2 separate regions of the Mus musculus genome follow, and region 2 is reported to be linked to region 1. The links are microRNA targets in miRTarBase. Many come from high-throughput screens and were not tested one by one. Region 1 holds a microRNA gene; the other region holds the end of a gene's coding sequence.
What was found. The annotated mature microRNA mmu-miR-1190 reads UCAGCUGAGGUUCCCCUCUGUC and lies in region 1 at 3,390-3,411, shown strand. An mRNA with a match to its seed (bases 2 to 7 or 8) in the 3' UTR can be bound and repressed. Matches are read on the target gene's strand: a 7mer-m8 pairs with bases 2 to 8, a 7mer-A1 pairs with bases 2 to 7 and ends in A, and an 8mer does both.

Region 2: the mRNA of Fam114a1 is a reported target of mmu-miR-1190. Seed matches in the 3' UTR shown: 7mer-m8 at 2,117-2,123.

Annotation. Positions count from the first base shown.
Region 1 is chr12:101,019,726-101,025,102 of GRCm38, reverse strand. It overlaps Mir1190 (microRNA 1190), which reads left to right and starts at 3,335; the gene lies at 3,335-3,430. Ccdc88c (coiled-coil domain containing 88C) reads left to right here. Exons shown (of 30, transcript NM_026681.5): 3 at 2,701-2,809.
Region 2 is chr5:65,039,687-65,045,063 of GRCm38, forward strand. Fam114a1 (family with sequence similarity 114, member A1) reads left to right here. Exons shown (of 14, transcript NM_026667.3): 14 at 938-2,215. The coding sequence ends at 1,054. Among named protein-coding and RNA genes, the nearest start is that of Gm32374, 22 kb to the left of the region's middle.

The DNA of each region.
Region 1 (5,377 bases):
GAGGCAGGGCTGGGTCATGTGTGTATCTGTATAATCATGGTAGTGTGCATCTGCACTCGTGAAGGAGCCTCAGTGGACTAGGAGCTCTGTCTGCTGACTTGGCAAATTCCCGTCAGCCTGTGGCTTATTCAGACCCTTGTGACCCCCGGGCCTCTGACCCTCATTTCTAGCAGCCTGTGTGGGGCATTGAGTAGGCAGACATGAGGTTTGCCTTCCTTAAGCAAGGCTAAAACTTTTGGTTTTATTTCCTAATAAACGCTCTTTACCCCGAGAGACTTATTAACTGAGGGAATACTAATGATCATGATAATTAGTCTAATTAGTCATATAACTAAACTAATGTCAGGGTTCTTTTCCAGTGTTCCTTCAATTAGCTGTTTCTTCCCATGCCTGGGGAAAACAAAAGCAGATATGGCTTGCACATCCCAGGTCCCGGGTATGTGCAGAGCCTTTGCCAATAGGTGTCTGTCCATGGTGCACACTGATGTGGTGGGTACCTGATACTCCTGCAGGGGCCCCTCTGGAGAAGATGAAATCTAGAAGCAGCAGGTGTGGCTCCGTTAGTCAGGTGGATGCCTAGTATTATTCTCAAAGCGCTGGGTTCAATTCCTGGCATTACACATAGCCGGGGTGGGTGGGTTCACTCTTGGAATCCTGGTAGGAAGGAGAGGCAGGAAGGTGAGATGCGCAGGGCCGTCCTCGGTTATATAGTAAGTTTGAGGCAGCCTGGGCTACATAAAACTCTGTCTCAAAGAGAAAAGAAACCCAGGATTTAAATAACGATGGAACAGTTGGGTCTCCTAACACCTGCAATCCTGTTACTTTAAAAGTTAGGCATGAGGAGCATTGTAAGCTGAAGGCCAGCTGGGCCACCTAAGGAGACTCTGTCTCAGAAGTAAAAAGAAGGAAGAGAAAAAGAAAAGGTTAGGGATGTAGCCGGTGGCGAGTGCTTGCCCAGCATCCATGCAGCCCAGGTTCATTCCCCCCACTTCCCCAAAACAAGAACGGTAAGTTAGGAAAGCCTGCAGCTTCACTCAGATTCATGTGCTAGGCTTAGGCCCCGTGAAACCGCTGCTCTGCTCACAGCGGGTCCCTTCATGGAACCCCTGTCTTGGTCATGCTAGGAAGACTTCTGTGGCCAAATGCCTTTACAGTTGAGATGCAGAGTGCTGCTGCCTCTTTGCTAAGTTGATTTCCGGAGTGTTCTTCACCTTTATTTCCTTAGTAACAAAGGGCTCTAAAAGAAAACGAACATGTAAATACGGTTTTGACAGACTCCAACATGCAGTGGGGACAATGTTGTCGCCTGATGTGGCTGTTTGAGGGGCAGTGAGATGAGTGTGAGAGGTCAGGGGCTGTGGGAAGACGGTTCAGACGCTTCGGACACTGTGCGGAGCCTCTAGAGCATATGTCAAATATTTACTCAAAGGTTGACTGTTAAACAGCTTGCATCACAAAAGAGCCTTGTGTTGTTCTTCCAGTGACATTCGAAATGGTTCAAGGTGTGAGCCTTTCCCTTCTATTTCTCCATCTTCTGTTAATGAGGCCTGAGATTTATTTCTATGGCTCCCCATCAGCTCCGAGTAGGCGCTGTGCCTTCATCATCACAGGGCTTTTGATAGATAAAACCGGGAAGAAGGGCTTTGAGTTCCCTGCCTTTATCCGTGGTGGTGCCTTGGGAGCGAGCGGGTGGAATGGAAGGGAGGCCTTTGCTATGAAAAGCAGAGCTCCCCTCTCCACTTTGCTCTTCTTGGCAGCCGTTTCCCACACTGAGGATTTGCGGGAACTGGCCTGCATGTAGATGAGCCAGGCTGTACATGGCTTGAGCTGAGGGCTAGTTCCTTTTCCCAGTCTCACCTGAGGTTGGAAAAGGATGCTCGAGGCGTTCCCACACTCAGCTTTTCTTGTGCGATTTGCTGGCACACCAGTCCTATCCTAGACCTGGACATCAGCCTGTCAAGACACTATTGCATCCATGGAGTGTAGATCATGAGCAGGACCAACCTAATCCAGATGGCAGGAAGGCCTGTACTGAGTGGAACATGACTCTGAAGGTCACCAAACAGGCTAGGGCCCTTGTTTTGTATTTTTCTTTCTTTCCGTTTTAAAAAAGATCTATTTATTTATTTTATGTATATGGGTGTTTTGTCTACATATATGCTTGCACACTAGGAAAAAGGGTATCCCATGGGATGACAGTTACAGTCGGTTGTGACTGCCATGTGGGTGCTGGGATGGAACCCAGGACCCTTGGAAGAGTAGTAGCTGGTGCTCTTAGCTGCTGAGCCATCTCTCCAGCCCATCCTTTTCTTGGTATTTCACATATGTTTCTTTGCCTGTCTTTTTAGTGGTAAGATACAGTTTAGGATAGGTTAGTGGTTTTTATATATCTGTATGTCAGTTTTCACAGCATTGACGACACTTGGGTGTCCCACCTGGCGCTTCCACCAGTGGAAATGGGAACAGTATTGAAAAGGGCTGCGTGCTGCGGCAGAGCCCTGAGTGAGGCGGCAGAGGTGACAGGTGACTTGTCTGGCACAGCTGTGGGCAGACTTAGGCGTTGACTTGAACTACAGAGTCACAGCCTCATGGTTATCAAGGGAGTAAAGAGGCTCTCGAAACTGAACACTGGTCCCCTGCTGGGGAAGGAGGTACAGTGAATGCCCTGAGGTGTGAATTTTACTCTGTTTCTTAATCTAGAGACCCCAGGCCCAGCAATCAGCGCATCAACAAGCATGTCAACAATGATGTCAACCTGCGCATCCAAAACCTGAGTATCCTGGTGAGAAACATCAAGACCTACTACCAGGTGAGGCTGCTTTGCTGGCCCAGGGAGGGGTCCCTGCACGTCTGCGATGGGGCCTTTAAGTGGGTTTCCACATGTGTGCAGACGTCCCTCAAGTGGGTGTACAGAGGCCCCTTGAGTGGGTTGCCACAGGAAGCCAGAGTAAGTGGCCCTTGGTGCTTTTCATTAGCCTTGGGGTGTGTCAGTTCAGAGGGGGAAGGGGCTTGCGTCGTTGATTGGTTCATTCTGAATGCCATGAGGGCTGGAGGCCCTGGGTTCACAGCCTGTTCTCTGTGTTTTACTTGGGGACTCTCTGGAAGACGTGCATGATCCATGTCTCTGGCTTAGTGGCTCTTGTGCAAAAGCCACTCGAGGAGAGAGAGAGAGAGAGCCACAAAAAGGCTACAGGGGCCAAGAATGGAACCATTGTGTTTCCAGACCTGCTGGAATCTGGGTTTACAGAGGGAAGGATCCACTTCACACTGCTCGATGTGTTTGACCAGCTGTACGGGTGGGTCAGCATGGCTGACACTCTGAGAGTGTTGGTGAGCTCTGGGGCCTTTGCAGACGTGGGAAGGTCTCTGCTGGCCTGATGCTTCCCCCGTCAGCTGAGGTTCCCCTCTGTCTGGGATGCTGCCTTGAGTCAGCTGAGAGACTACTACTGCCTGTGACTTGGGTCTGCACTGGGCCCAGGCCCTGCCTAGGGCTATGAGTGTTGCAGGGCCCTTGTCTTCTCTGCAGTCTGGATTTGAAATGGGTTGGGAGAGGGAAGGGTATTCTGTTATGATTATGTCTGTCCTCCCATCAGGGGAGGTAAGCAGTATAAGTGTACACACACCATAAAAGTGTGGCCATGGCACATGCACAGACACACCTGTACGCACACACTCCCACACATGAGAACACACATACACATACAAGCTTACCACAGATGCATCATATGCAAAACAGAAAGAATGGGGCCTAGATTAGCACATTTGGTAAAATAACTTGGTGTGCAAGCATGAAGACCTGAGTTTGATCCCCACGCTCCATGTTTAAAAGAATCCAGACGTGGCGGTGGGCACTTGTAGCCCCAGAACTGGGGCAGCAGAGATGGAGGATCCCTAAGACTCACTGGTGGCCAGCCTAGCCTCATTGATGAGCCTTAGATCCCAGATCGAAACCCTGTCTCAACTAAGTCTGTGGCTACTGAGGAACAGGTTGACCTTTGGCCCCAAGGCCCAGAGGGTCCCCTGCTGCCGGTGATTAGCAGCTGTAAGGGACCAGGTCTGGGCTTGGTGAAAGGCCTCATCACCCACTGGAGACAGTGTACCGCTGAGAGGTGTTTGCTGCCGAGTTCCAAGTGGGAAATTATCTCACAAAGGAGGGACTGGGTGACCCCGAAGGACTTGGGGGTGGGGAAGAGGACCTGATGATCTTGTCATTTTCCATTCTTTTAGCTCTTTGAGAGTGGGGATGGCACTGGTCGCTGTCTAGCCCCAGCTAAGCACAGTGCACACAAGCACTTGCAGGGAGCGACAGTCACTGTCCCCCTCATCTCGCCAGTTTGGAAAGAGCTGCTACAATGTGTGTGCATTAGTGGCTGGCACGTCATTGTGCACAGTGTTCTGTCTGTTCCTTCTGATTTAGGGGGAGCAGAAATTCAGTTCGTATATTAGAAGACTACTTGGCCTGTATAAACAGCTTGAAAAACAAGGGCCATGAAGGCAGGTGGCGCTCAGCTCTCTGGGGACAATTGCCCATCTCATGTAGTGTTTCCTACCGGTGGTTGAGTGAATGGGTTTTGTTTTGTGCTGTTATGGGCATGCCATACGTATAACTGTACATCCTGCCTTTTTCCCTTCCAATGAAACACTATAGCTTATTTTTGAGGGTTTTCAATGGGCATTTTCCGAAGGAACCACTCTCCAGCTTCCCTTGTTGGCAAGTAGCCCAGAAAATGGGGTGAAATGACCCACTTACCGTTCCTAGCCAGGCACAGTGGTGTACGCTTGTGATCTCAGTGCTAGAGAGGTAGCAGCCTTGGTGCCGGCTTGGGCTAGACAGAGAGTTTGGGGACAGCATAGGCCTCACAGTGAGACTGCCCTTCAAAACCAGCCAAGCAAGAAGCAGCTCTTGCATGTTCCATTGTCTGAGGCGGCCAGGAGGGAGAGGGGTCACCCCAGTGGTGGGGCAAAGGGTGGGTTTGTTTGTTTGTTTGTTTTTTAAATACCTTTAAAAAGTGTTATTTCCATGTATGGCTGTCTTGCCTGCGTGTATGACTAAGCATCACATACGTGCCTGGTGCCGAAGTGAAGTCACAGAGCGTTGTGAGTTAGCATTTGGGTGCTGGGAATTGAACTGGGGTCCTCTGCCAGAGCTGGTGCTCCTAATGGCTGTGCTATCTCTGCAGCCCCCAAGCTCCGTGCTCTGGAAGGGCTGCCGTCGACCTAGCTAGGCAATCGTACTGACCGAGCTACATTTCCAGTTCTGCTTTGTGTGACCTTTAACCTCTAGAAGCCGTAGATCGCAAGCCTGGCAGCCCTTTGGCACTTGTGTTAGATTAGCATGTGTCAGGTTCGGCAGATGAGAAGTGTCTTGAGAAAGTGA
Region 2 (5,377 bases), not on the chromosome of region 1:
ATGGACTCAACCATAAGGGGCAGGAACTGTAGGGACAAGCCCAGTGGAACAGACACAGCTAGTAGAAACCCTGGAAGGCAGAGGCAGGAGGATGGTGAGTTCAAGGCCAACACAAACTATATAGTGAGTTTCAGTCTCACTTCTTAGTCTCCCACCCCAGATCTCTGTCATGGCTGCCAGATTAAACATGTACATTAGCACATTAATTTAACATACTTGTGCACCACAAATATGGCACCCAATAATAAGCCGCTGGCCAATACCCATTCTAGATACCCTCCCTAAACTTCACTGGCCACTTTTACAGTGATCTCTCCAGGGCACTCTATGTGGAGCTTTCTGTAAATGGTTGTGGTTTAGACCCTAGCCTCTGTCCTGTGATTTCAGGACCACAGGGTTGACCTGAGAAAGGGATAGATAATACTGGCCATGCGGGGCCATGAGTCTACACATACTCATGTCCCTTAAAAGCCCATGGAAATGATTTGTCTCAATTTGAATGAGGGCCTTTTGTTAGCTCACATAGTTGAGATCTGGGCACACTCCATCCAAAAACATGTGCTTACATTTACTGCAAGTGCAGACATTCTGAGAATTCTATGATATTGTTGTGCTTCCTTCTCCTCGGAGGAAAAGGATGTTGTTAGGGCTGGAGAGATGGCTCAGCAGTTAAGAGCACTGGCTGCTCTTCCAGAGGACCAGAGTTCAATTCCCAGCAACCATATGGTGGCTCACAACCATCTGTAACGGGATCTGATTCCTCTACTTGTGTACATTAAGGCAGAGCATATATATATATATATATATATATATATATACAAGAGAAAGAGAGAGAGAGAGGAGAGAGAGAGGAGAGAGAATAAGAATGTTGCTATATGGTGACAGCCATCGAAACTGAACTATGAAAATACCCTCAGCTCTGTTTTCCTTCTTGCAGGGCTCCAATAGCACCACATATGTGCAGGACGCCCTCCAGCTGCTGCTCCCGGTACTGCAGGTCTCCCACATCCGCACCAGCTGTTTGAAAGCTACAGCCCAGCCAGATTGCAGCTAGTTCAATAGCAGGCCACATCTCTTCACTACATACCATTTAAAGGCAACGGACTTCTATGTCACTGGCCAGACCATTTGAGGACACTACAAGCAATTTTTGCACAGTTTTGAAAATACAGAGAGTTAAAATTTCTCTTAATGTATACTGTTTTATCAATAATTATGTTTTCTTTACATTAACTTAAACTTGTACTTGTTCTATTGAAGTTTTCCTTTAATTTGCAGTTCATTCACAAATATATCTGTTTTCCTGGTCAACCAGACTATATTTAGAAATTCATAGAGAGAACCTAGATTTTTGTTCAGCTTTGAAATGTCTACCTTTCTATGCCCTATTTTTCTCAAGCATGGCTTTAAATGAGTTCTTGTACTGAACTTCATTTAATTGCATAAACATCATAAGCAAAAATACCGCTACTTATTTGGTTTTAAAAGGGACATAAATATCTTTATAAATATCACTATGTAGACCAGGCTAGCCTAAAACTCACAAAGATCTGCCTGCCTCTGCCTCCCAAGAACTAGGACTAAAGGTGTGCACACGAAACCTGCCTGCCCTGAAGAAGTGTTTTAGTTTAGAGTGTTTGGTGGCAAAATTATAAAGCTGAGAATCATTTCAACAGAAAACTAAAGGGGTTTTAGCCAGGTAGAAACCCCGACCTGCATTTCAAAAATACCCACTAACCTGATCACACACATGGTAGAGGCAAAGGGTAGAAAGTCGTAAGTTGGCCAAGTGGGGTGCTGATCCAGGGAGATGCATCAGAGACCTTGCAGGGAGCAGTGGTACTGAACCTGGGCTCTTGTGAGATGCATCTGTTCTTTCCAGGCTGAGGTTCTCTGGCATGCTTCTGTTTGAGACCATCACTGACATCCCTACCAGTAGTGTCCAAAATAGTCATGCCCAGTGGCTTATCCCAGGGCAAATGATGCCTGCAGTCTTGAAAGGGAGAAAAATCCCTCCTTTGTTCCTGTGGTAGAAGCCACTGCGTCTGTCCCCTGTGGGCCAAGTAGATATCTGAATTCTCTCAGTAGCATTTTTGTGTGACTGTGTTTTGTTTTTTCAGCTGTATGTCTCCTGAAACAACCAAATAAAAACTCAAGAACAATGTATTTGCAACCTAGAAAAATTAAATCCGTAAAGGTGTGGCATTTCTCCTTTCGTGACCTCTGGAATGCTTCTGATGTTAAGTGTGGTGGTGATTAACTGTTGATCATATCACAGTCACCTCTGTGAATTCTATAATTCTTAAGTATAGAGCAGAAGAAATAATCTAGATTTATAGTTTTCACATCAGAGGGATTTGTACATTAACCAGAAATACGAAAGAAAAACAAATACCTCCAAGGCATTAGATTCTTGGACTTAGTCTCTCGGCTGTCAGTGCTGGGGCGGTGGCTCAGCAGGCAGTGTTGAGAAAGCGTAATGACCAGAGTTAGACTCCCCAGCATGGATGTAAAGTCTGTGCGCACACCTGTAATCCCAGCAGTGGGAGGTAGAGACAGGAGGATCACCGGCTAGCCAGTGTAACCAACTGATGAGCTCCAGGTTCAGTGAGTGTTATGGTTCATATATGCTCTGCCCAGGGAATGGCTCTATTAGAAGGTGTGGCCCTGTTGGAGTAGGGGTATCATTGTGGGTGTGGACTTTAAGACCCTCCTCCTAGCTGTCAGAACTCTCAGCTCCTCCTGCACCCTGCCTGCCTGGATTCAGCCATGTTCCCACCTTGATGATAATGGACTGAACCTCTGAACCTGTAAGCCAGCCCCAACTAAATGTTGTCCTTGTAAGAGTTGCCTTGGTCATGGTGTCTGCTCACAGCACTGAAACCCTAAGACAGTGAGAGACCTGGAGTCAAAAGAAAATGACAAGAAAAACAGTAGAGGAAAAGAGCCAAGGTACACTGTGGCCAACTCACGCGCCCACACAGGCACAAGGGCCTGCAGAAATATGTGTGCACACGACACACATACCTGAAAGAGGAGATCAAAACGCAAGGCATTGTAAGTCTGTAATACCAGCACTCTGGAGGCAAGGCAGAGAGATTAGAAGTTCAAGGTCATCTTCGGCCACATAGCAAGTTCAAGGCTAGGCTGGGCTACCTGAGGTCCCATCTTTAAAACACTACCTAGATGTTTGCTGTACATCTAGTGTACAGCAATAGAATTTTAATTATAAAACAAAGTTTAAACAACATTAAAAAAATAGATTTAAAGTAAGCGATATTATTGACATTTTATTTATTTATCTTTTAATGAAAAAAAAATCCAAGGTTGCCAAGTCGAGACATGAACTGAAACGATTCTGTGACCTATGACCTGTAAATTCAACTGTTTAAGAGAGAACAGTCATTGACTACAGACCCGTTGTCAGGGATTTCTCTCAGTCCTGGCTTCCACCATCACCTTGAAATAATTGCTGCTTTGCTTTGCTTTAAAACCTGTCAAAACACATGATCCAGACCTGGGGAAACGTGAATCTATTCCTGAATGAATGATTTAGCAGGCTTACTGTGGAACTTGGCTATTCCTTCAATAATACTTTACATAAACTGGGTTTATTGCACTGTACACAATTACCCTGAACAAGCAATGCCTGATTTTTGCATCAAGTACAACATAAATTCTGGTCTAAATAATGAATATAGCCCCAAGTCTGTGCCTTGTTAATTAAAAAATATCCAAAGCCTATTTCAAATTCTAAGTAAAAAGCATTCAAAAAAACATTGCTTCGGGGCACTGACACACACAGATGCAAAGGACAAACCGAGTCCCAGACCCGGAAGGACAGGCCTAAGTTGGCATTCTCGGCCCTGAGAACAGCAATGTGTGCTTTCTCTGGGTGGCATACACGGCTGGACACAAGCTCAGGGTTAAAGGAGCATGTGACTCACTGAAGCTGGGACCAAAGGAAGCCACACACACAAACAAAGAAACGGCACACTTCAGACACAGAGCAAGGGGGACCAGGAGTGTCTCCACACTTCTGTGTCCCGGCAGAAACATCATAAGGGAGGGACAAGTTCTTTGTTGGTAGATTTCAGCCGTCGTAATGGAGATGATAGAGTGAGACTGGACAGCTCATGGCTGCAGGGGGGCCTGTGGCGGAGACTGTTCACATCACCGCAGATCAGAGAGCTGAGAGTCCAATAGGATCTAGGACCATTTCAAAGGCCCACAATGACCGGTTTTCAACAACTAGCTCTTCCGTTCCTCACACCACACCTAAAGCTCCCAGGGCCTCAGGAAAATAAAAATAAAAAAAAATAATAAGGCACCACCAATTGGGGAACAAGCTTTCAAAACGAAGCCTGGGGTAGGGTGAGCACATTTCAGATTCAACCCATAAGAAAGAAACATCAGCCGGACGGTGTTGGTACACACCTTTAATCCCAGCACTTGGGAGGCAGAGGCAGGCGGATTTCTGAGTTCGAGGCCAGCCTGGTCTACAGAGTGAGTTCCAGGACAGCTAGGGCTACACAGAGAAACCCTGTCTCGAAAAAGAAAGAAAGAAAGAAAGGAAGGAAGGAAGGAAGGAAGGAAGGAAGGAAGGAAGGAAGGAAGGAAGGAAGGAAGAAAGAAAGAAAGAAAGAAAGAAAGAAAGAAAGAGAAAGAAAGAAAGAAAAAGAAAGAAAGAAAGAAAGAAAAAGAAAGAAAGAAAGAAAGATCAATAATGTGCTGGCTGAAGGAAAATACAAATTACCAGAAAAAGCCCCAGTGCAGGAAGCAAAGGCGTCCTTGAGAAAGAAATCAGCTGCTCTGAAGTGCTTACGATTCCAGAGACGCACCAGAGACGCACCAGAGACGCCCAGAGACGCCCAGAGACGCACCACAGACGCCCAGAGACGCACCAGAGACGCACCAGAGACGCACCAGAGACGCCCAGAGACGCACCAGAGACGCCCAGAGACGCCCAGAGACGCACCAGAGACGCACCAGAAACGCCCAGAGACGCCCAGAGACGCACCAGAGACGCCCAGAGACGCACCAGAGACGCACCAGAGACGCCCAGAGACGCACCAGAAACGCCCAGAGACGCACCAGAGACGCACCAGAGACGCACCAGAAACGCCCAGAGACGCACCAGAGACGCACCAGAGACACACCAGAGACGCCCAGAGACGCACCAGAGACGCACCAGAGACGCACCAGAGACGCCCAGAGACGCACCAGAGACGCCCAGAGACGCACCAGAGACGCCCAGAGACGCACCACAGACGCCCAGAGACACACCACAGACGCCCAGAGACGCACCAGAGACGCCCAGAGACGCACCAGAGACGCCCAGAGACGCACCAGAGACGCCCAGAGACGCACCACAGAC